4 linked regions of the Caenorhabditis elegans genome follow. The protein of the gene in region 3 interacts with the protein of the main gene of each other region in a pairwise test. Each region holds a gene or a part of one and is shown on either strand. Other genes may lie near its edges. The genes, in order: snt-2, pqn-71, T11B7.1 and F59C12.3.

Region 1 (4,596 bases), on a different chromosome or scaffold from region 3:
GTTTGTCGGCTGTGCGGTTTCTAAATTATTTTTGGCGTTTGAGGAAGTTCTTCATGTTTCAATGTACCGGAAGACATTGACGATACTGTTGTGAGCTGGCTTATTCACTGGATTTAATCCCGACAGGAAGACAAGTTGAAGTGGCCGACCGGCTATCCAATCACCTGCTTCTACTGGATCCATCTGCTACAATTGAACGGTTTCTACTATCCCTTCCCCAATAAAAAAGTAGTCCTCCTCCAGATTTGAACCGTTTGTTTTATTATTCACATAAAATTATAACATAGACATTATGCCAACAATTTATTGATTGAAGACATGAAGTTAACAATAACAAGATTTGACGAGGCGGTTGCAGACGTGGACGCTGGTTGCTCAATCAAGCTGAAAAAAAAATAAGTTGACAGATAATAAAATACTTATTTATTTTAAAGTATATTTGCAGTAAGTTCAGGTTTGTTTGCTGATCTTGAACAGGAACTCTAAAAGCTGATGTACCTGTCTTCGAGACATCAATTCTATCTTGCAGACTAAACTAAACGTCGAAAAGCACAGGCATTCGCGTAATGGACATCTGCTCATCCTACTTGAACTTTTAAATATTATTTTAGTTGGATAAGGTTCCTTTTTTGCATAATCTAGTTAAATTTACCTTCTTGAATCCGATGTCTCTGGCTTGCTCGCGGAAGCATCTACGGCAGAGATCGAGGCCGTACTTGCGGATAAGTCCGTGGTGTCCAGCGCAGACGCGGCTGAAAAATTCAGATAAATGTATTTGAAATACACCAAGTTCAGGTTTGTTTGCTGATCTTGAACATGAGCATCAAAATATGAAGCACATGTCTTCGAGACATCAATTTTATTTCGCAAATTTAACTAAACGTCAAAAGGTAAAGAGCCTTTTCGTAATGGACATCTGCATTCGAAATTTTTGATGAAAATAATACTTACCAGGAGCGGGATCCTGGTCCGAACTTGCGTGGGTGAGAGAACCACAAATTTTGGAAACCCATTGTCGAGAGCTGAAATGGAAACAAAATTAACATCTCAGAATGCAAAATGTTTCGAAAAAGCTGTAAACGGAGGAAAAAAGCGGAAAACAAGAAGACGGTGAGAAAAAAAGCGAAATGCGTCAAAAAATCGATAATTAAAGCAACAACAGCATTTTCCGTAAAATTTCGTTATTTTTCGAAATCTTTCCAGAAGAACTAGTTACAAAACTTCTAATTTAATTCTGCTACTTATAATTACGGAAACAATCGTTTTCCTTGCAAAAATATGGAAAATAGATCGAAAAACTTGATTTTCGGCCAAGAGGCAGAAAATACGGGCGATTTTAGCAAAATGTTGACGTTTTTGGTGAGAAAATGCACGAAATTTTGATTTCCAACAAAAAATTCATTTATTTTCGAATTTTTAACAACAAAAAACACAAAAATCCATCGAAAAATAGGCCAAAAGGAAGAAAAACGCAATTTTTGCAGAACACTCCGCCACTCGGGTACGGTCACACTCGTTTCACGTGTGTCAAAGTCGCGGCGAGACCCACACCAAGACTGCTCCGCCTCCTTCGGGTCGTTTAGGAGGGAGGAGCCGCGCTTTTGAATGGAAAAACGACAGGAAAGAACATTTTTGTGCTCCAAAATTTTTTCAGACAAAAAAATTCGAAAAATCTGAAATTTAATTATATTATTCACGATTTTCGTACTATGTAGCGAGAAAACACCCTAGAAACTCACTATTTTAACTATTTTTCCCCGTTTTTTTATTTCACTGATAACATTTTCTCACTGATACCGCCACAATCAATTATTCAACCATGTGGGCGACCGGAGCAATCGTCTGCTCGCCAGTATTCCGGATTTTGTCGACGTGTTGTCCGATTCGTCGTGGCGTGCCAACGTCGAATGGGGTGAGTGGCTATTCTGATTTTCTTAAAGAGCTAAAAGCTGACAAAACTTCGTTTTTAGTTCGAAAAATTCCTAATAAAAATTTAACGAAAAAAAATTAAAAAACACTACCCGGAGTTTAACCAAAAAGTTTTCACACCAAACTGTGCACACTACTCATTGCGCCAACTGAACACGAAATTTCAAAACATTTTTGGTAAAAATATCGAAAAGTAGATCATTCGATTCTAACAAGAGAGAACAGAAAAAACGTGGACAAAAAAGCGAATTAACTCGGTTCTTCTACTCTTTTTTACTGCCGGGTCGTTAAACATTGGCCACTCGTACGAGTTGTGAGTGTTGCGGCACAAAAATGGAGAAAAAAAGCTCATCAAAAATTCATTTGTTGTCATTTTCCCATTGATGACGTGGAAAATTAAATTATTCGTTACTTTTTTTGGAGATGCGGATCTAATTGACTTAAAATAGTAAAAAAAAAGAACCGAAAATAGAGTTATTTCATCGAAAATAAGCACATTCAAGCATATATATATTCGCACTGCCTCGTGGCTACAAGCCAGGGGTGGGCGGCAATTGCCGTTCCCCAAATGGCAAATTGCCGGAAATTTTCGATTCCGGCAAATTGCCGGTTTTCCTATTTCTCGCAAATTTTCAATTCCGGCAAAGTGCCGATTTGCCGGAAAAAATCGTTTGCCGCCCACCCCTGGTAGAAACCATTTAAATTTTAAATTTTCAAAAAAATTTAGTCAAAATTTTTTTTTCACTGGTTTATCAAAACATTTTTTAAAATTTAAAATTTAAAGTGAAGAAATCCCAATATGATAATATATGTATGCGCCTTTAAAATTACTGTAGCTTTAATTTTTTAAAATTGGATTTCGCGTGGCGAGACCCATTGCGCCTTCCTGAAAGTGCCACAAAGCACGTTTCATTGTAATTTTGACTGAATCCGGGTGGACTTTTCGATTCTCGTTACTTTTTAACGAATTTTACAAACACGTATTAAGGAATTTTATAAAAACCACTTGGTTTTAATTTTTTCTGTACGTCTCTATTTTTGAAAAGATCTTATTGAAACCAACAAACCGACCTTTTTTTAAAAGATTTCTTAATTTTCTCTGAAAAAAAACACCGTTGAATCCTAATTTTCGCCACTAACGTATTCAAAGAGTTTTCGGCCAAATGTCTAGTAAATGATGTGGCTGCTCTAAGCTCGAGCTTAACAATTCTAGAGTATTTTTCCACGAAAATAAGCTGCTGAAATCCGTCATCTTTGCTTCGTCTTCCCCATTCGCCTGAAAAAAAAACAAGTTTGTGTTCCTCCAAGAAGCTTCTGCTTTCCGAGCCCCCTTCGCCAAAATACAAACGACATCGGAAACAATTCATAAAATACAACATGTCTTTTCTACTTCCCATAACATCTTCTTTTCTGTCTTTTTTTTTCTTCAACATGACACGCCAACGACCGAGCCGATGATGTGCTCTTCGAGAGCCTTCCCCGAAACGTATTCGGGGGAAAAGGATAGGCAACCTTGGAAGGGCGCCGAAAAAATGGAGAAGAAGAGGAAATTTGAAATTCCGAACAAAAAATTCCCCCTATTTTTCGCATCGCCGACGATCTAACCAAAGGGGCATCACACAATAAAGTGCGGGAATAGAAAAAGCACTTTCTGATGTCTGATGACACGGGGTTCTGGCCTTCCTCGTTGCATTTTTCGCGCTCCATTGACAATCGCCTGCCGGGCAACGCATGGGAAAGCCGTGTACTCCACACGCAAAAATACATTTAGGTTTAAAACTAAAACCGAGCCGCGACGCGACACGCAACACGCCGTAAGTCTACCCAGGACTTGGCCGAGCCAAAATGGCCTAGTTCGGCAAACTCTTACATTTCAATTTATGAAGGAAGTCAGAACCGCGTGTCTGGAGTTCTCCGGCATTTCAGATTTTCGGAACTTGGCAATTACCGACAATATCGAGTTGCCGTGAAGTTGTGGAAGTTTTACTCAAGTTTAAATATGAGGTTTAATAAATTCCACCTTCTAAATTCTCCAGAAGAGCCAAAACTTGTGAAGTCTAAGACATATAGTATTCAGATTGCCAGAGCCCTTAATCAGACCCACCGAAAAAAAATTAGCCTTTTTTGACAAAAATATGAGATTCTAGCTACTAGGCCCTTCTGGCAAGCCCTACCCTCAGCCCTACGTTGCTACTAATATTGAACATTCGGTTTTTCCGCTACTTGCGTTGTTTTTGCGCTGTCTTATCAGAATTATCCAAAACTAGCGATCTCATTAATTTTTTGTCGAGTTTTGCTTTTTTCCTAATATTGGAATGAGAAAACGACACGAAGCCAACAATTTTTCCAATCTTTTTCTTTTTTTTCCACAACCACAACCAACTTCACTAATTCCACCTGCAAGGGGGGTTTTCCGCAAAAAAACGTCATTTTTCCGGGGAACTTTTTTTCGACAATTCCAGGTATTTAAGATAACTTTTCTTGTCGGATGCAGACAAGAACTGTGTGCCGTCAAATCCTTACTAATCCAAATATGTGCAACTCAGCATCTTTTGATCACCTTTAACATAATGATAGAATATGGATAATCCGCTCAATTTTCGGCAGTGAAAAAGATGAAGAAGATGAATCTAATCCATTGAGGCAAAAATATGAAGAGCCGGGGAG
Region 2 (3,737 bases), on a different chromosome or scaffold from region 3:
CTGAACATTGTCGAAACCGAATTTCAAAAGCTTCAAAAGTTTTTAAATTTTGACACCTTCCGTGTAAGACAATTTATGACGTCACTGCTCTTAAGAGTTTTAACCACAATTACTGTTTTTTGAGTGAAAATGTGTGACCAGTAAGGCATGAGCAGCTGTTCCAAGTTGTTTGAATTAAAATACTTTTAAAATTAAAAAAAACTGGATTTCTCGGTATCCCTTTAAATCTTATAGTTAGTCCCCCTGTTTTAAAATTCAATATACCAAAAATGTTTAGTTCAACACACGAGCCTCAGCTGGAGCGTTTTATTTTTCAATTAAAGTTTTACGAATGCTACTATTTCACGAGAGAAACCAGAATTTACAAAAACAATTTCTGAAAAAAAAACTCACCTTCGCCAAATTCGAGTGTCCCTTTAAAACTTCGAGATTCGCATTTGGATTCGGCTCAGAGACGGGCGTCTTCCATACGGGCTTAACCGCAATAATCGGCCCAAAAACCGCGAAAATCACGGGGAAACATGAGAGTAAGGGCCTCATCAGGCCCACGTTTTAGGCCTCTAGTTTTTGTCCGAGATTTAGGAAAACAATACGGGAGAAAACAAGAACAACAGGGAGGCAAAGAAGTGAGGAAACGGGTGAGGGGGGAGAATGGACATTCCAACATTATTAGATCGATTTAAGCGATATCGTCTGGTTATGATCGACGGAAATCCCTTTTGAATAGACGCTTTTTAAGGAGGGGAAACAGAAATGAAAACTGAGAAAATCGGGAATGAGGGAAAGTGACGGCAGGAAATGAGACTAAATTGGTCATCGATGTGTTGAAATTCTGGATTTTTTTTCGGTTTTGAAAATCTGCTGAATAGAAGATATTTTATTTGAAACAACACAGTTCAGTTATGTTATCGAGAAAAAAAATTACTGAATATAAACTTTACACTAGAAAGATGAAATTAAACATTTTTGCGTCAAATTTTCAATTAAAAATAATTGAAAACTAAACTTTAAAGCCGTTGTAACACCTTATACAGCAATTTTTTATGCAAAATTTTTCACAAATATTTGTTCAATTAATACATATTTATGTTTGAAAACATTAAAATTTTCCATGCCAACTAGATGTACTAGTTGACCACCAGGCGCGCCTCTCGATTCTCTCCCGATTCCGTTTTCTAAAGACCAATTCTAACACCGCCGCCGTGGCCTCCTTAGCTCAGTTGGTAGAGCGTGAGACTTTTAATCTTAAGGTCAGGGGTTCGAGTCCCCTAGGTGGCTTGATTTTTTTGTTTTTTTTTTCATTGTTGAAAAATTGTTTCTTTCTCAATTTTTTTCAAAAGGAATGGGCCGAACCGGGGATTGAACCCGGGACCTCTCGCACCCAAAGCGAGAATCATACCACTAGACCATTCGGCCACGAGAGACATGCTTCACGGAGGTATACACAATTGAGAGGAACAGAGATAGCGCTGGCCAGAGGAGAGTGTAATGCAAATAAACGATTATGGGGAATGAATAATAAATTGAGAATTTAATTCTGTTTTACTTCAAACTTATATATTTATTTCAAAAATAACTGAACAAACATGAATAACTCTGATTAAGAACCAGTTTTCCTCCATCATGCTCAACAAACAAACAAAAGATAAGTTGATTTATCGGGTCAATGAAAAATGCAAACATTGTAAACTTTTGATTAGGATTTTCAAGAAAAAAAAACGTGTCTAACTAGAAACAAAAGTGTAGGTTGGTAAACAACATGAAAAAGTATAAAAGTGGCAAGAATTACACGGGGTATACTCACAGAATCCCATTGAGCGATGCGTTGTGTGATTATATTGTTTGCAGTTGCTTTGGCTGTGGCTCAGGTTAGTTTTTCAATTTTAAACTAATTGTAAGGAATTTGAAAATTTATAATTTCTAAGTGCTGAGAGAAAGCCTAATAATTGTATTTTCTTTTCGCAATTTCGTGTTAACAAAACTACTTGAAATGTGAATTGGCGCTTTAACGACTGTTTTTGAACCTCTTCGAATTTCAATTTTCGACATCATTAACTGAAAAATCTCCTTTTTTAGAGTAATATCTGTATTCCCGTATATGGAAGTAGACCGACCCTGTTTTAATGTGGGCCGATAAAAATCTCGTAGTGACGTTTAAAATTGATAGAAGCATTCCAATTAACGACGTGTTTCTCAACTCAATTTGATTTCAGGCCTCCTCAATCCGCGAAACCCGTCAAGCCTCCTGCGGATGTGCTCAATCGGTTCAGCCGACCTGCTCCTGCCAGCAGGCCTCACAACAATACAGCTGCTCCTGCCAACCTTCAACTCCATGCTCTTGCGCCAGCAGCCAGCAATATCAATTGCAGACGTCTCAATGCATGCCTGCTTGTCAACAGTCCTGCAGTCAACAGTGCCAATCTAACACCAACACTCAATGCCAGCCAACGTGTCAGCAATCCTGCCAGACATCGTCTTGCAATCCGATGACTTCCACACCAATTCCAGCGTCGCAAAGTTGTCTTCCAGAGTGTGAGAACCGATGCATGCAGCAGTGTACTCAACAGCAGACCGCGCAACAGTGCCAGCCAATTTGTCAGCAGCAGTGCCAGCAGGAATGTGGGTCCACAGGAAATATGATGTACAATAATCAGGATCCGTATAATCAAATGCAGTATGGAGGGTACAATCAGCAAGGAAATCAGTACCAGAACCAAAATCAGTACCAAAATCCAAACCAGATCCAAAATCAGTACAACCAGAACCAGTACCAAAACCAAAACTACTACAACCCTTACCAACAAACTCAATGCCAACAACAATGTGCTCCACAATGCTCTCAACAAACTTCCACCAACTGCCAGCAGTGTCAGAACTCCTGCCAGAACAGCAACACTCAAACCATAACCATCTACGTGCAAGCCTCCCCACAGACCTCCCAATGTGTTCCCCAGTGCCAGCAACAATGCCAACAGCAGTGCCAAACTAGAACCACGGCCTCCCAACAGTGTGCTCCAGCTTGCTCGACATCCTGCAATCAATCCTGTAATCAGCCGGCCCAAATGGCATGTCAACCAATGCAAAATAGTCAGTGCGGATGTCAACAAAACTATTCGCCGTGCGGAAATGTCTCCGGGCAGTGTTGTTTGAAGAAGTAAAATTCTTGAAGATTGTATTTCTGTAAATCTAGGAAATGATGAATAAATGTTTCTCACTACCAGTTTTTTTGTTAAATGGGTCCTTTCAAAAGTGCTGAAGCTAATAAATTTGGTACCTGGTATTCACACAACATTTTTTGTTGAATGGAAAAAAGGTGGATGTACCTTTAAAGAGTACTGTAGTTTCGAGCTCTGTTTTTCAGGAATAATCATTTCGAGACCCGGAAAAACAATTAGAAATATTAAGAAAACTATTGTTGTATTGAAATTATGTTGATAAGATTTTATAGAAGATGACCGAAAATGTTTTAAAATTTATAATTGATTAGTATTTTTCGAATTTTTGTTTTCAGAATCAAGGAAAAATCGAAAACTCGACCCACTTGGTCCCTGTTGTTTGTTCTGCTACTACGTAGTAGTTGAGTGAGAGCAAGAAGAGGTGAAAAGTGCATTGAGAAAAAGAGACAAAAAGTTACCCCTTCAAATGCATATCGCTACATATATATAAATAGATGTCCAACTTTTTTCGCACTTTTCAATGAAAAGAAGGGGAAAGTTTATTAGTAATTTTTTTGAATT
Region 3 (4,530 bases):
TGTTACAAAAATCAAATTGCTTTCAAAGATCTAATGAACAGAAATGTAAACTTTGGCTTGTCAAAAGTCAAAAATTTAGGGCATGTTCATCATCTTCCAGCGCCTTCGGTCAACCTAACAACATTTATGATTGTCTAAAAAATCGATAGCATGGAAAAATGACACCCTCGAGGAACATAAATAAGATAATTGTATCATTAGACGCAGAATAATCTCAAAATGATCCAGACTTTACGAACAGAATAAGAAATCTGATATACCCATCGTCTCAACAATCTTCTATCCATTCCAAGCCATGACAAATTTGAAGCGGCAACAGTGAAAAGTGGCCCACCGCTGGCTAATACGTACGGTTTTATAGCGGGCAAACTGAAGGCCGTCTTAGGTCCATTACCGGCTGTTGGACCGTCATTTGTCCACAGGTTGAGAAAGACTTTCAACCTGTTCGGGCTCGTCCGCAGCTGTTATAATTGTGACATTTTTTATACATAAGTTTGTCTTTGGTTCTTGGAAGGACTTATTGGAAGATTTTATTTCAGAAACAAGAACAGTTGGAACAGTGTAAAGTTAATCAGAATAATCAAGAAAATTTGAAAACAAAGAGAAAGTCGGATAAATGGGAAATCATGATATATCGTAGAGCGAATAACAAGAAAATCGTTGATTTGTGAATAGTTAAAATTTTTTAAAATATTAGTCATTGTAAGAAGGTACATTTAATTTCAATGAAATCTCAATTTTCTGATTCGATGCTATTCCTCTGACGAGCTGTCACCATCTGGTAAATCATCAGAAGCGCTGCTTTCAGAACTTTCATCTGATGAGCCTTCTTCCTCTTGAACTTCTTTTAAAGCTTCTAATTCTTTGAACGCATTCTTCAAATTTCCTCGAGAATTTCTGAGACGTTTTCCAAAATTTCTGACAGTCTTCGCCAAATCCTCAGAAATTTCGTTTTTCGGAATGAAATTCTTTTTCAATTCCATCATCTGCTCGTATTGATGTTCAAGCTTTAATTCTAGAGCATCCTTATCTTCAAGAGCATTTTCGTATGACCAACCAAGATTAGCGATTCTGTAATAATTTTTATGTGTTTTTAAGATCAACAAAATATAAATGTTTCGTCAAAACTTACCTTTTTTTCTGATCGTTAATTTGTCTTTGGAACCACTGAATCTCTTGATCTTTCTTATCGTGCACTTCAAGACTTTCCAAAATCAAACGACACTCCTCTTTATGCAACTGCAGCATCTTACATTCTGGTTCAAGTTTTTGATCGTCTGAAAACTTTTGAAGAATTTCAATAAGTCCCTGCAATGTTGGAGTTGGTGAACGATTCTCTGTTTTGTTTCCAGCTGTGAGCTCTCCAATTTTCGCTGTTTGATTATCAAGATAGTTTTTCAATGTATCGTTTTTTCTGAGCAGTTTCTTGTTTTCTTGAGCAGCCCTGAGCAGTCTGGAAAAAGTAATTACGAAACATAAAATGTTTGTTCTTACACTGCCAAACAGATTACTATATCTCGATGGCAGTGCATGTTATGTTTTCGGTCGACTATACAGATAAACATAGTTACCTTGATTCATAGAGCTCTTGTGTCTTCTTTATATCCATTTTAAGAATTTCAATTTCCTTAGCTTTTTTCGAATTCATTTCAAAATTTCCAACAGCTGACTGTAGTCCTTCACAAGTTAACTGAATATTTTTCAGTTTCTGATCAATACTTAGTTCTTCTTTGAATTGTTTCAACTGTTCGGTGAGCTCATCCAATGTTAGAGGATTCACATTTTTTGAATTCTCGTGATTTTGAATACTTTTCAAGTTTTGAAGTTTTTTGAATTTTTCAATTTGAACTTCAAAATCATTTTGCAAGTCAGCATAGTTGTCTTGCAAATTGGAACATTCATTCTCGAGTGTATAGATTTTTACAGAAAGTGCCTGTCTCATATCATCATACTTAAGCTTCTGACGGCTGAGTGTTGAATCTAACTTCTGGATTCTGAAACAAGTTTAATCTTACAAAAATTACGAAAAAACAGTATACTTACGTTTCCAAATGTTCATCCTGTTTTTCATTGAACTTTTTTTCCAAATCCTTGTAGTTTTTATCTTTTAATTGAATACTTTCAAGCTGTTCTTTAATCATTTGCAAATGAGGAATGGAAAAATTAATAGTTTTACTTTGTTTCTCAACTTGGACATAGCTTATGGTATCATGAAGAATATCAATTATTCCTTGAACTGTAGGCTTAGACGCTGAAATTTAATATACATTCACGAGGAAAAGTATTCAGAGGACTGCGTGACTATCGATGTTTCAGATTTTCAGACGGGATACATAAAACGCAAGTAGAAAAACCCGCATGACGTCACACTTTTTCTTTCATTCTCCGTAATTTTCCAGGAACAAATTGCGAATGGAACCTATCATACACGCGTGCGCGAGGCGATGTGACAGCTTCGATTAATTATACAAAAAAAAACGTCAGAAATAATATCATTCCTGTTATGAAACACTGTGATTTCAAAAATGTTTACCTTCCAATTGTCTTGTTTGCGGTGCTTGACTTTCTCCTTTTGAAACACTTGGTTTGATTCCTGACATTACTCTCTGAAAATCCAAAATCCTTGCACTAAAACAGATTTAAAAAAAAGAAGTTAAATGAAACCGTATTCATATCTTATAATATCATAACTACAATCATTTCCATACAATTCGTGCATTATAAACAAGAAAACAAATGAAAACCCTTCAAAAAACTCGATTAGCTACCGATATCAAGGCACTTTGGATGTAAAAAATAATAAATTAATCAGTCATCTCTTGACGATGACGTATGGGCAAGTCATCTGGATGAAAACTATAAAACAGAACGCTCATGTATATTATCGACTCGAAAAGAAGGTTTCCAAAAATTATCGATTCAATTTAGGTTTAGCAGATCTACGAATATACATTAAAAAATACTTGAGGAAAAGTTACTTAATTAGGGATCCTACAGAACTGACAGACCTAGAATAAAAGTAAAAAAGATTAAAAACGAGAAGAGGGAGGGAGAAAACACCGAATGCAAATGAATGGTATGTTGGAGATTTGTAGTGTTGGAAGAAACAGTGAACCACACTCTCCACGGGCAACGTACAGGGGTCATCTCATCTATTTGTTACGACGTCGAAGAGGCTCGCCACTCTGTAAGTAATATTGATTACTTGGTTTTGTGTATCGCATCCGATATCGGCCGAATGTACAATGAGATTTTTTTTCGAAATACCACTATTTTAGATGTCGCCATAAAAAATGTTTGAAGGTAACATAGATAACATTTTCAGAAGAATTTAAGTTTGAAAACGTGATCAATTAGGTTTTGGGCATCTGGAAATCATATGAAAAGCTAAATTTATACCTGTCGTACGACGACATCAAACGCTGATCCAGTTGATTGTAGTGGTACTGCCACGGATTCTGGCACAAACGAAGACGCGGTTGAGATTCGTGACGACGTTGACATTCTGGATGATGGGCGGGATGAGAGAGCTGGTACATTCGATGACATTGGCACTCGTGGAGAAGTTCGACGAGCCGCCGCTGAGAAGGTTTTTAGTTTCAAGTGAAGTTCTTCAATTGTCTTGGTCTGCTCGGCAATTTGATGACGATACTCCGCGATAAGACCTTCACGATCAGAAATCGTCAGATTTTGAACTCGCATATCCTGTTGAGCATTTGCAAGTTGTTGTCTGAAATAATATTAATATAAATCTATATTTAATTTTCTGATTGTGTGTTACTTTATTTTTTCGATTTTCACATGTCCGGAACATGCTATCAAATACTTTAGTTTAAAATAAAATTTCGTTCTATACACCAATTCATTTAAACGTTAAAAAGATTTAACTCACCTCAGCTTGACTAGCTCGACGTTTGATGTCTTCTGCTGTTGATCTTCTTCAGCAGGATTCTGAAGTTGTGCTTCCAGTTCTGCAATTTTTGCTGTCAGAACTTCGCATTTCTCACGATACTTGTCCATTTGAACGGCGAACTCGTCAGCGTGATCCAATAATCGAGCTTCCGAATCCTTAAGCAATCCATTCTGCTCCGAAACAATGCGAAGTTCTTCTTTTAACTGTTCCAACTCTTCCAGAGACTTCAGATCAGCCGATTCGGATGCCTCGATAAGCTGTTGCCGTAGATTAGAGACAAGATTTTGAAGTTTCACAATAGTATCATTCCTATTTGAAATCTCGATTTCCAATGCCTTCTTTACTTCTTCAATTTCATTTTCATTTTTGTTCCACGCATCATCATCATTCCATCCTGAAGCCGAATTTTCAGCCTCGACTAGCTTCTGTTTGGTATCTTCCAGTTCTGATTGAACGTCATACAACTTTGATTGGAGAGCAGAAATTGTTTCGGTTAACTGAAAACACAACAAGTTACAGTAATATAGATATTATGATTCATGAAATTTTTCTACAGTACCCGTTCACACGTTTTTCGCTCACCTCAATCTCATTATCTTTCAGTCTCTGTAGCTCAT
Region 4 (7,705 bases), on a different chromosome or scaffold from region 3:
CATTTTCTATTCAATAACCCATATATTAAATCAATAATCACTAACGCATAAAATGATCCTAAAATACTTTTGATGATTTTCAAATGATTTGTTCAAGGAAACTTAAAGCAATTTATGTGAAAATTCGATAAAACTCAGTATCAAAGAAAAAATAAAATAAAACCAAATAAAACTAAATAAAACTAGGTAAAACTAAGTAAGTAAGTAAAATCGAAAAAGATTCTAAAATATTTAAAAAAATCAGAAGTCAAAAATCCAATTCTACAAGATGATAAACCGACGAATTAATTTTTGTTCGTAATTCCTAGAACTACTGTGTTTTTCATTGCAGTATTTCTTGCAATACCATTTTTTGACTGTTTATATTTGAAATTCAATATACAAAACTGGAATTTACGTAGGATTCAAACAAAAATGTGCACATTTAGAAACAAAATTATACGAGCATTTTGAAGACGCTGGGAATCATAGAAGATCCATGAAAAATACCATGGGGTGCAAAATTGATACAAAACATACCATACCTAAAATTATTAAACGAAAAACTACACATTAAATATCAAAATAGTTTTAAAAAAATTCGTCATATAAAACATATTCTCTTTCCTCATATTTTTGTTTCGAAGTTTTTGTTTCTATTGTTTATGTTTTCGGCTAGCTTCATCATATTTTGCTTTTCATCCTGCCCATTTGTTGTTCAGTACACATGATTCAAAAACAAAAAAACTGGAAAAAACAGCAAAAACATAAGTTTCTTCATTTTGGATTTCGACCACGTCAGAGATTAACACGGATAAGCCGCGATAATCAGAACTAAACTAAACGATTTTGGAAAGAAGGTCTTCCACACGAACGCGTGTAATTATATAATTAGGAACTTGCATTTCGGGTCAGGTCACTTGAAACCTTTTAGTGTAGTTTAATCGAAACTGCGTTTGACCGCCCGAGACGGGTTTGTGTTAGTTTTTTGTTGTTGAGTATTTGTGACTTATACCAGAAATTGTCACTTTTAGTTTGGTCTTACAGTTTAGAGTATTGGTATATTATCAAATTAGATTTAATTCAATTTTAAACTAATGAAAATGTTTCTACATTGTATGTATTAGCTCACGAAGTGTCTTCTTATCATTCGTAAAATTTGGGAACATGTTGCACTGGCAACAATATTCATGGTTTAGTTTTGTTTAATTTTTTTCCAGAATACATATAATTTTGTATCATTTTTTCATGTATTCTTGTGGCGTCAATGTGTCTCATTTTGGTTTGATCTACGTAGACCTACAAAAAATGCAGGAGTTCAGACGCAGAGTTCTCAACTGATTTTGCACGGTTAAGAACGCGCTGGCGTCAATTTTTTTTCGATTGAAAAACTCCCGCATTTTTTGTAGATGAAACCGTAATGCCTGACACCGTGGGCCTGACACCACGTTTGTATTTGCATTCAAAATATTCATTCATTCAAGATGTGAAGTTAAAATTCATGTTAGTATTAGCTTCATGTAGTTTAGTTGAAAAATGACCACGTGAGAATTACGTTATTGATTAAATATTTCTAGGTATGATTGCCATATTAGCACCCAAATAAATGTCTAATTTTTCTCACCTATTTTTTTCTCGTTCTACATTCAATCTTGATGATTCACTATTTAATCGAAACTAATCTCAGGGTGAATGAATCGAGGGGACGTGATAGATCCGCGCTCGTCGGATGGCACATCATCGGATCAGCGACGAGTGCATGCAGTGCCACCGACACCCATGTATCAGGGAGAGACGAACATTTTAGACTCACTTCTAAAGGAGGCTCAGTTGAATCCAAGTCTGAAAGCGAGTGGTGAGCAATATCGAACCAGGGGTCCTGCAATTCGAAAAACTATTTTTCAGTGATGAACCACCAGGCTCAAACAAAAAGCAAGGATGACGACGAGAAGCGGTTGCAGAAGATGCTCGAAAAATATCAGCTTGAAATGAACATGCAAAGAGCAAACAGCCGGAAGGATTTACATGGAAGTGCAGGACGTGCGTGTGACATTTTTTGTTTTTTTTCTGTTTTTGGTGGATTGATGAAAATAGTATATTATTTCAGCATCACCTATCAGTCATTCTCAGCCATGTCTTATTGCGAGTGGATCAAGATCGTCAGAGTAAGTATTGGTTTTATGATGTTTTTGAAACGTTATACGGTAAACTGTAAAATTTTTTTTGAATGTATCAATAACTTTATCCACAGTGTTTCCCACTATGCATTAATTTCAGCCACACTTTTTAAATAAGGAAATTTGTAGCATTTTTTTTTTCATTTTATAAAATTATAAAAATCGTAGAAAACATTTTGGTGAATTTAATAAGTAGTAAGTGACGAATACTGAAAAATTGCTAGATTTCTCTCTTTTTTTTTTGTGAATAAAAAATTCAAAAATTATAACAAGAGTTTCATTTTTATATTTAATCACTATATTCGTATGGAAAAACTTTTAAACAACTTCCGCACAGGTTTTTAGCTAAACGATTATCTAAAATTAAAACTTCCTACTTTCAAGTTGCATTTCAAAAAACAAACAAACTTTTTTGACAAACTCAACATTTTTCCTGAGATATTTTTTTTACAAAAAAAAGCTTGACCTTCTTCTTTTAAACATTAATAATTTCAGTATTCCCCCAAATGAATCAAAAATGAGCACATCTGCCTATCAGCGTAGGGCATCTGCATCTGGAGATCAAGCACTTGACGTCCCCACATTGAGCCAAACTAACAGAGTAAGAACTTCAACAAGCAACAGCAAAACAAACAATTATTTTAGGGAGTATCCAGCAACCAGAAGCTCATTCAAATTCTCCGCGAGGAGAATGTGCACTTGAAAAAAGAGCTCGACGCTTTCAAGCGCAGTCTTTCAAAACTACAACAGGTTTGTTGGAAGTTTCAAAATAGTGGGAAACCTAAATGCTTGCAGATTGAATACTCATATGCTCGACTGGAAAAAGAATACGAATACTTGGCAAATGAACGAAAAAAGCAAGAAAATTTAGAGCTGAACGTGATTATTCAATTGGAAAAGTCTGTAAAAAAGTAAGTTGGTTGAAAATCTTGTCGGTAAAAAGAGACAACAATTTTCTGATATTTATATCTAATGAAGGCAATATAAAAAAGTTTCCATTTAAAAATGAATTGAAAACTATTTCACAAAATTCACGAGCAGCACTTTTTTGTTGTTTGGGGCAAACTAGACAAACATTGAACACAACTAATATCATTGAAGTTCACAACAATAATGATTTGATTAAACAAACTTGGGCAAAATACTCTTCGCATTTGGCTCTTGCAACTTGCCCAAGTTTGGCCCAAAAAATCTTAACTTGGCTTAGAAGTTGGCTAAACTTGAGAAAAAGGATTGAGACTGCACCAGAGTTTAACCAAAGCCGAACTCTACTCTTACCCTACTTTAAACCCAACTCTTGCCAAACTTTGGCCCAAACTTTTCTTGTTTCGTTTCAAACTTTGGTAGAAGTCTGGCGAGAGTTGGGTGAAACTTGTGTTGAACTTTGGTGTAATTTTTGCCGAAGTCTTGCCTAACTTTTGGCCAAGTTGCGCCAATCCATGTTGATATTTTGTAGGACAAAGTTGGGCAAGAAGCCAGAACCAAATGCCGAGTAAGCAAAAAAAAGCTTATTTCATACAAAGTTTTACACGGGCATATTTTTCTGAAATTTTACAATATTTTTATTTTAAAAAGTTTATCCAAAAAAAAAACTGACAAGCGGCAATATATCAAACAAACATCCAATCAACAGGAAAATCCATTATCTTCTAAAAATCTTAGTTTCAGACTTACCATCGAAAGAGACGACTTGCAAATGCGGCTGGAAAAAGCAAGTACTGAACCAACGATGGTGGCGAACCTGATGTTAAACGAAATTCAGCAGAGTGAGGAGAAAAAAAGAAATAAATTTGATACAATAGAACTGGAAACAGAGAAGCAGAATGAGAAATATGAAAAAAAAAACGAATAAAATACTTATACAATTGATTTTTTTCCGATTCAGGGCAAGAACTCTTCGCATGCAAAGAGCGGCAAAAAATGGAGATTGAGGCACAGAATCAGACGTTGGAGGAGCAACGAAATCATATTGCAATGCTTGAGAAGGCACTCGCCAATTCACAAGAGAGATTGGCGAAGCGGGAAAAAGTATGGAATATTTGTGGGAGAATGTGCTGAGCGGAATGGATAACATTTCCAATTTATTTATGGGAAAATGGGGGGAGAACAAAAGTATAGGACCACAACAGTGTACTTTTGATAAAAGTGAACAGTTGTTTGGGTATTTTGTGAATATGGAGAATTTCTGAACATATAGACTAAAAATGTTTTCAAATGAACGAAATTCGTAATGAAACTTCTCCAAAAATTTAAAATTTTTTTTTCCTGACTGTTAGCTAAAATCTCTAATTTAGAATATTTTACCGTGTCGCAGTAGTCGGAAATTGAAGTTTTTGAATTATGATCTCACTTCGTTGATTATGGTACATTTAGAGCCCATTGGTGGCCAGGTTTGGTCACCTTTGGCCACTTTTTCGGTTTTTAAGGATTTTGATCAACATGACTTCATAACGAGACAACCCAAAAATAAATAAAAAATTGTCTCACTAGCCGGAAATCAATTTTTACTTGAAATAGATTTTTAACAGTTGTCTCATTTTTTTTGTTTTTGATGAGACACTCCAATTGATATAATAATGAATAAAAGTGAAACGCGAAAAAAATTTGCAAACTGACGTGGGAAAATAAGAAATGAAAAAAAACTTCCATGTGATACAAACAACAATTGAAAACGTGCTGTGTTTAGAAACATTCAGAACTTGTCTATCAATTTTTTTTCTATTTTCAAGGTAATTTTAAAGGCACTCAAATAGTTATGTACCATTACTTTTGCATTCATATTCAAAAAATATTGCGAAATTCAAATTTTAATTTAACTTTGCAATATACCTTGCACTTCCGGACTTCTCTAAAAAATGTTTTTTGCTTTCTTAACTTACATTAAAAATATTTTTTAAAGCTCCCAAATCAAAACTGTTTTCTTGATAGTACGTTATCTTTTTTTTGAAATTAAAATTCAATAAGAAACACTTTTTCTAGAAATGCGAAGAATTGTCCGCTGTAGTGGCACACGCTGATGAGCTGCGAAAGCAACTAAACGAAGTATGGGAAGAACAACATCGGAGGGATCAGATGGTTGAGTCGGAACGGGCTCAGTGGGAAATGGAGAAGACTCAGCTAAGAATGCAATTGAACAAAGACACATCACTCACTGGAAGTCTTAAGGTTTGTCTCGAAACAGGGAGAGAAATAGTAGTAAATGAAAGTAATGTGGGGTGTGCTAGGAAAAGGGGGGGGGGGGGCGACAACATTTGAACCGGTTCCCGATTATGGGGTTAAATGTCCGGTAATGAAAGTTTTATTGATATAGATCAGCACCGGTCTCAGTATTTTTTTTCTGAAAATTAGATGGGACGCCTATAGGTTAGTACATTTGAAAACGTTTGCAGAGGGTCTAAAGAGCGTCATCATTTTTCTAATATATACCATTAAAAAATGGAGAATTAAAAATTTTTCTAGCATCTCATAATTTTTTTACTGGAAATTAAAATTATAAACTATTATTATTAGTTTATCTTCTATAACAATCTTATCCTAGATATTGCCGTCTAAGCCGTCTTTGTACATAGTAGTACATAAGCCCTGAAATAGAACATGCCAGAACATCTATAGAATTACTCATGGAATTACTAACCACTACTCATTTGCATAATCATCAATTTTGCAGCGAACCACTACTCCCGGCAGCACAGAGGATCTTATTCGAATGCGAAAGAGCATTCAATCAAAAGACGACAAGATTCAGCAACTCGAAAGAATGGTGAACGATTTGCGAAAGTTTGTTTTTTTTTCTTTCTCTCTTCTTTTATTCTCTTCGTTTGTTGAAGAACTGAGCCGAAAACGGAAATGGAGAGCAGAATTGAAAAAGCTTTTTTTAGAACTCACGGTGACAAAACTGAGCAACGGAAGTCAACTCTTGCAACAATAACTGACAACTTTGAAACCCAGGTGGACAAATTGAAAGAGGAGAGTTATGAAAAGGTGAGGCAAGAACTGCTGCTAAATTTTTTATACAAAATTTAAAACAAGTGAAAACATTTATAAGGGATCTTTTCAAAAATAGAGACGTTACTTTTCAAGGTTACGTGTTTTCTCACAGAAAATGTTTTCAATAAATTGTTTAAAGTTTCCCAGTTGCCCCTTATACATATTAACATAATTTATTGTTACATATACTATATAGCACTAAATTTTCGGTCATAAACCCAGTTTATAAAAGCCTCAACAACCGCTCTCTTTCGTGTCCTCGGTAGTATAGTGGTGAGTATCCGCGTCTGTCACATGCGAGACCCGGGTTCAATTCCCGGCCGGGGAGAATCTTTTTGCCTAATAACTTTGGGAGTTTAATTCAAGAGAGTAATTTTAGATTGGTATATTTAATTATCGCGCCTAGAATAAATAAAAATGTTTCTGATATTTGATATACTAGAAATGAGCTTTATTTCTATTATAGAGAACATCAGAAAACACACTTTGAAATGAGCTCACAAATTACAACGGGCATATTCGATGAATAATTGATAAATTTTAGGATCTGATCATCAACGAACTGAGGTCGGAGCGGGACAAATATGCAGCAATGGTAGATAAAAGTGAGTATATGAAGCCCTAGTCGGGAAAAAAGAAAGGCAAAGGGGGAAGCGTCGACTGCATTTCTTTTGGCATGTGAAAAGAGCACTCTTCTTCCTCTCTCCTTTTTTTTCTCATTTCTTTTCTTTTTTTCCAGACAGCGGAGACGAGGCACTGAGTAGAATGGAGGAAATTAGACAGAAAATACAGGAAAGGAAGAAAAAAGGTCGAATGGGCGTGACTGGAGGGTAAGACGCAGTTTTATTAATTGCTCAAATAAATCAAATATAATTTCCTTAATTCCCATATTCCAGGCTATCAGAACATGCAAGAACTTCATCGGGCTCGTTGATGCAAAATTCTCTTCATCGGAGGTGAGACAAAAAATTATGAGACCGTTGTTTTTTCTTCCTAGGAAACTTTGCAAAAAGTACTCAAAATTTGAGTTTTCTGAACGAAAGCAAAACTACAGTGAATCTTGAACTTTTCTCTAATTGTAAGTTCCTTTTTAAGTTAGTTTTTGAGTATAAAATTTTCAGTTGAATACTTTCTAGAAACACACATAGGTCAAGCTGAAAATACTAGCTCCAGAATCTATTACGATTCGATAAACATCTTCAAAAGTAACAAACTATACAAAAAAAGTTGCAGATCATCATCTGGATCATCATTCGACCCTGTACCGACTGCTCCAATTCCTTACAATATGTTCAAAAATAGTAACAATAACAAGTCAATACTTGCGGATAACCAATTTTCTTGAATATTCCTCATGCACTAGTCATCGAAATTCTATTTATTATTTACAAACACGCTACCAACAACACACTTTCCTTCTTTGTTACTTTCTGTTACATGCATAATTCAATTTATTTTTCAATTCAAGTTTCCAAAGTCCATTCCTCTTAATACAATTTGTATGTAGTTTTGTTCTTTTAATTTTTAGCCAGTTTAGATGATGTACTTGTATTTTTTCCATC

What was found.
Region 1: the proteins of T11B7.1 (region 3) and snt-2 interact in a two-hybrid assay, tested with the Caenorhabditis elegans proteins (one large-scale study listed by BioGRID).
Region 2: the proteins of T11B7.1 (region 3) and pqn-71 interact in a two-hybrid assay, tested with the Caenorhabditis elegans proteins (one large-scale study listed by BioGRID).
Region 4: the proteins of T11B7.1 (region 3) and F59C12.3 interact in a two-hybrid assay, tested with the Caenorhabditis elegans proteins (one large-scale study listed by BioGRID).

What each region holds. Positions count from the first base shown.
Region 1 is NC_003281.10:790,726-795,321, reverse strand, and holds the start of snt-2 (Synaptotagmin 2), read left to right. Parts: upstream 1-1,588; 5' UTR 1,589-1,819; coding exon 1,820-1,912; intron 1,913-4,596. Other genes in the region: trpp-11 (Trafficking protein particle complex subunit 11 domain-containing protein), read right to left, coding at 1-20, 68-183; rps-29 (Small ribosomal subunit protein uS14), read right to left, coding at 376-384, 653-752, 952-1,013. UniProt on the Caenorhabditis elegans protein: Ca(2+) sensor involved in Ca(2+)-dependent secretion of the nlp-40 neuropeptide from intestinal cells. Involved in the defecation motor program, which is a coordinated series of three muscle contractions that occurs every 45 seconds.
Region 2 is NC_003283.11:15,463,881-15,467,617, forward strand, and holds pqn-71 (Prion-like-(Q/N-rich)-domain-bearing protein), read left to right. Parts: upstream 1-1,796; 5' UTR 1,797-1,820; coding exon 1,821-1,868; intron 1,869-2,213; coding exon 2,214-3,158; 3' UTR 3,159-3,220; downstream 3,221-3,737. Other genes in the region: rocf-1 (ZP domain-containing protein), read right to left, coding at 394-540.
Region 3 is NC_003282.8:8,838,795-8,843,324, reverse strand, and holds T11B7.1 (Centrosomal protein of 162 kDa), read right to left. Parts: upstream 2,609-4,530; 5' UTR 2,601-2,608; coding exon 2,534-2,600; intron 2,252-2,533; coding exon 2,044-2,251; intron 1,995-2,043; coding exon 1,572-1,994; intron 1,454-1,571; coding exon 1,133-1,453; intron 1,072-1,132; coding exon 753-1,071; 3' UTR 520-752; downstream 1-519. Other genes in the region: T28C6.11 (uncharacterized protein), read left to right, coding at 3,064-3,187, 3,442-3,662; T28C6.7 (Kinesin motor domain-containing protein), read right to left, coding at 3,153-3,185, 3,400-3,730, 3,893-4,410, 4,496-4,530.
Region 4 is NC_003284.9:16,603,486-16,611,190, reverse strand, and holds the start of F59C12.3 (Angiomotin_C domain-containing protein), read left to right. Parts: upstream 1-1,666; 5' UTR 1,667-1,671; coding exon 1,672-1,834; intron 1,835-1,884; coding exon 1,885-2,019; intron 2,020-2,086; coding exon 2,087-2,144; intron 2,145-2,314; exon of another isoform or gene 2,315-2,539; intron 2,540-2,651; coding exon 2,652-2,757; intron 2,758-2,801; coding exon 2,802-2,906; intron 2,907-2,951; coding exon 2,952-3,067; intron 3,068-3,824; coding exon 3,825-3,922; intron 3,923-4,041; coding exon 4,042-4,184; intron 4,185-5,135; coding exon 5,136-5,321; intron 5,322-5,823; coding exon 5,824-5,933; intron 5,934-6,034; coding exon 6,035-6,137; intron 6,138-6,388; exon of another isoform or gene 6,389-6,481; intron 6,482-6,687; coding exon 6,688-6,748; intron 6,749-6,882; coding exon 6,883-6,973; intron 6,974-7,039; coding exon 7,040-7,099; intron 7,100-7,376; coding exon 7,377-7,488; 3' UTR 7,489-7,705.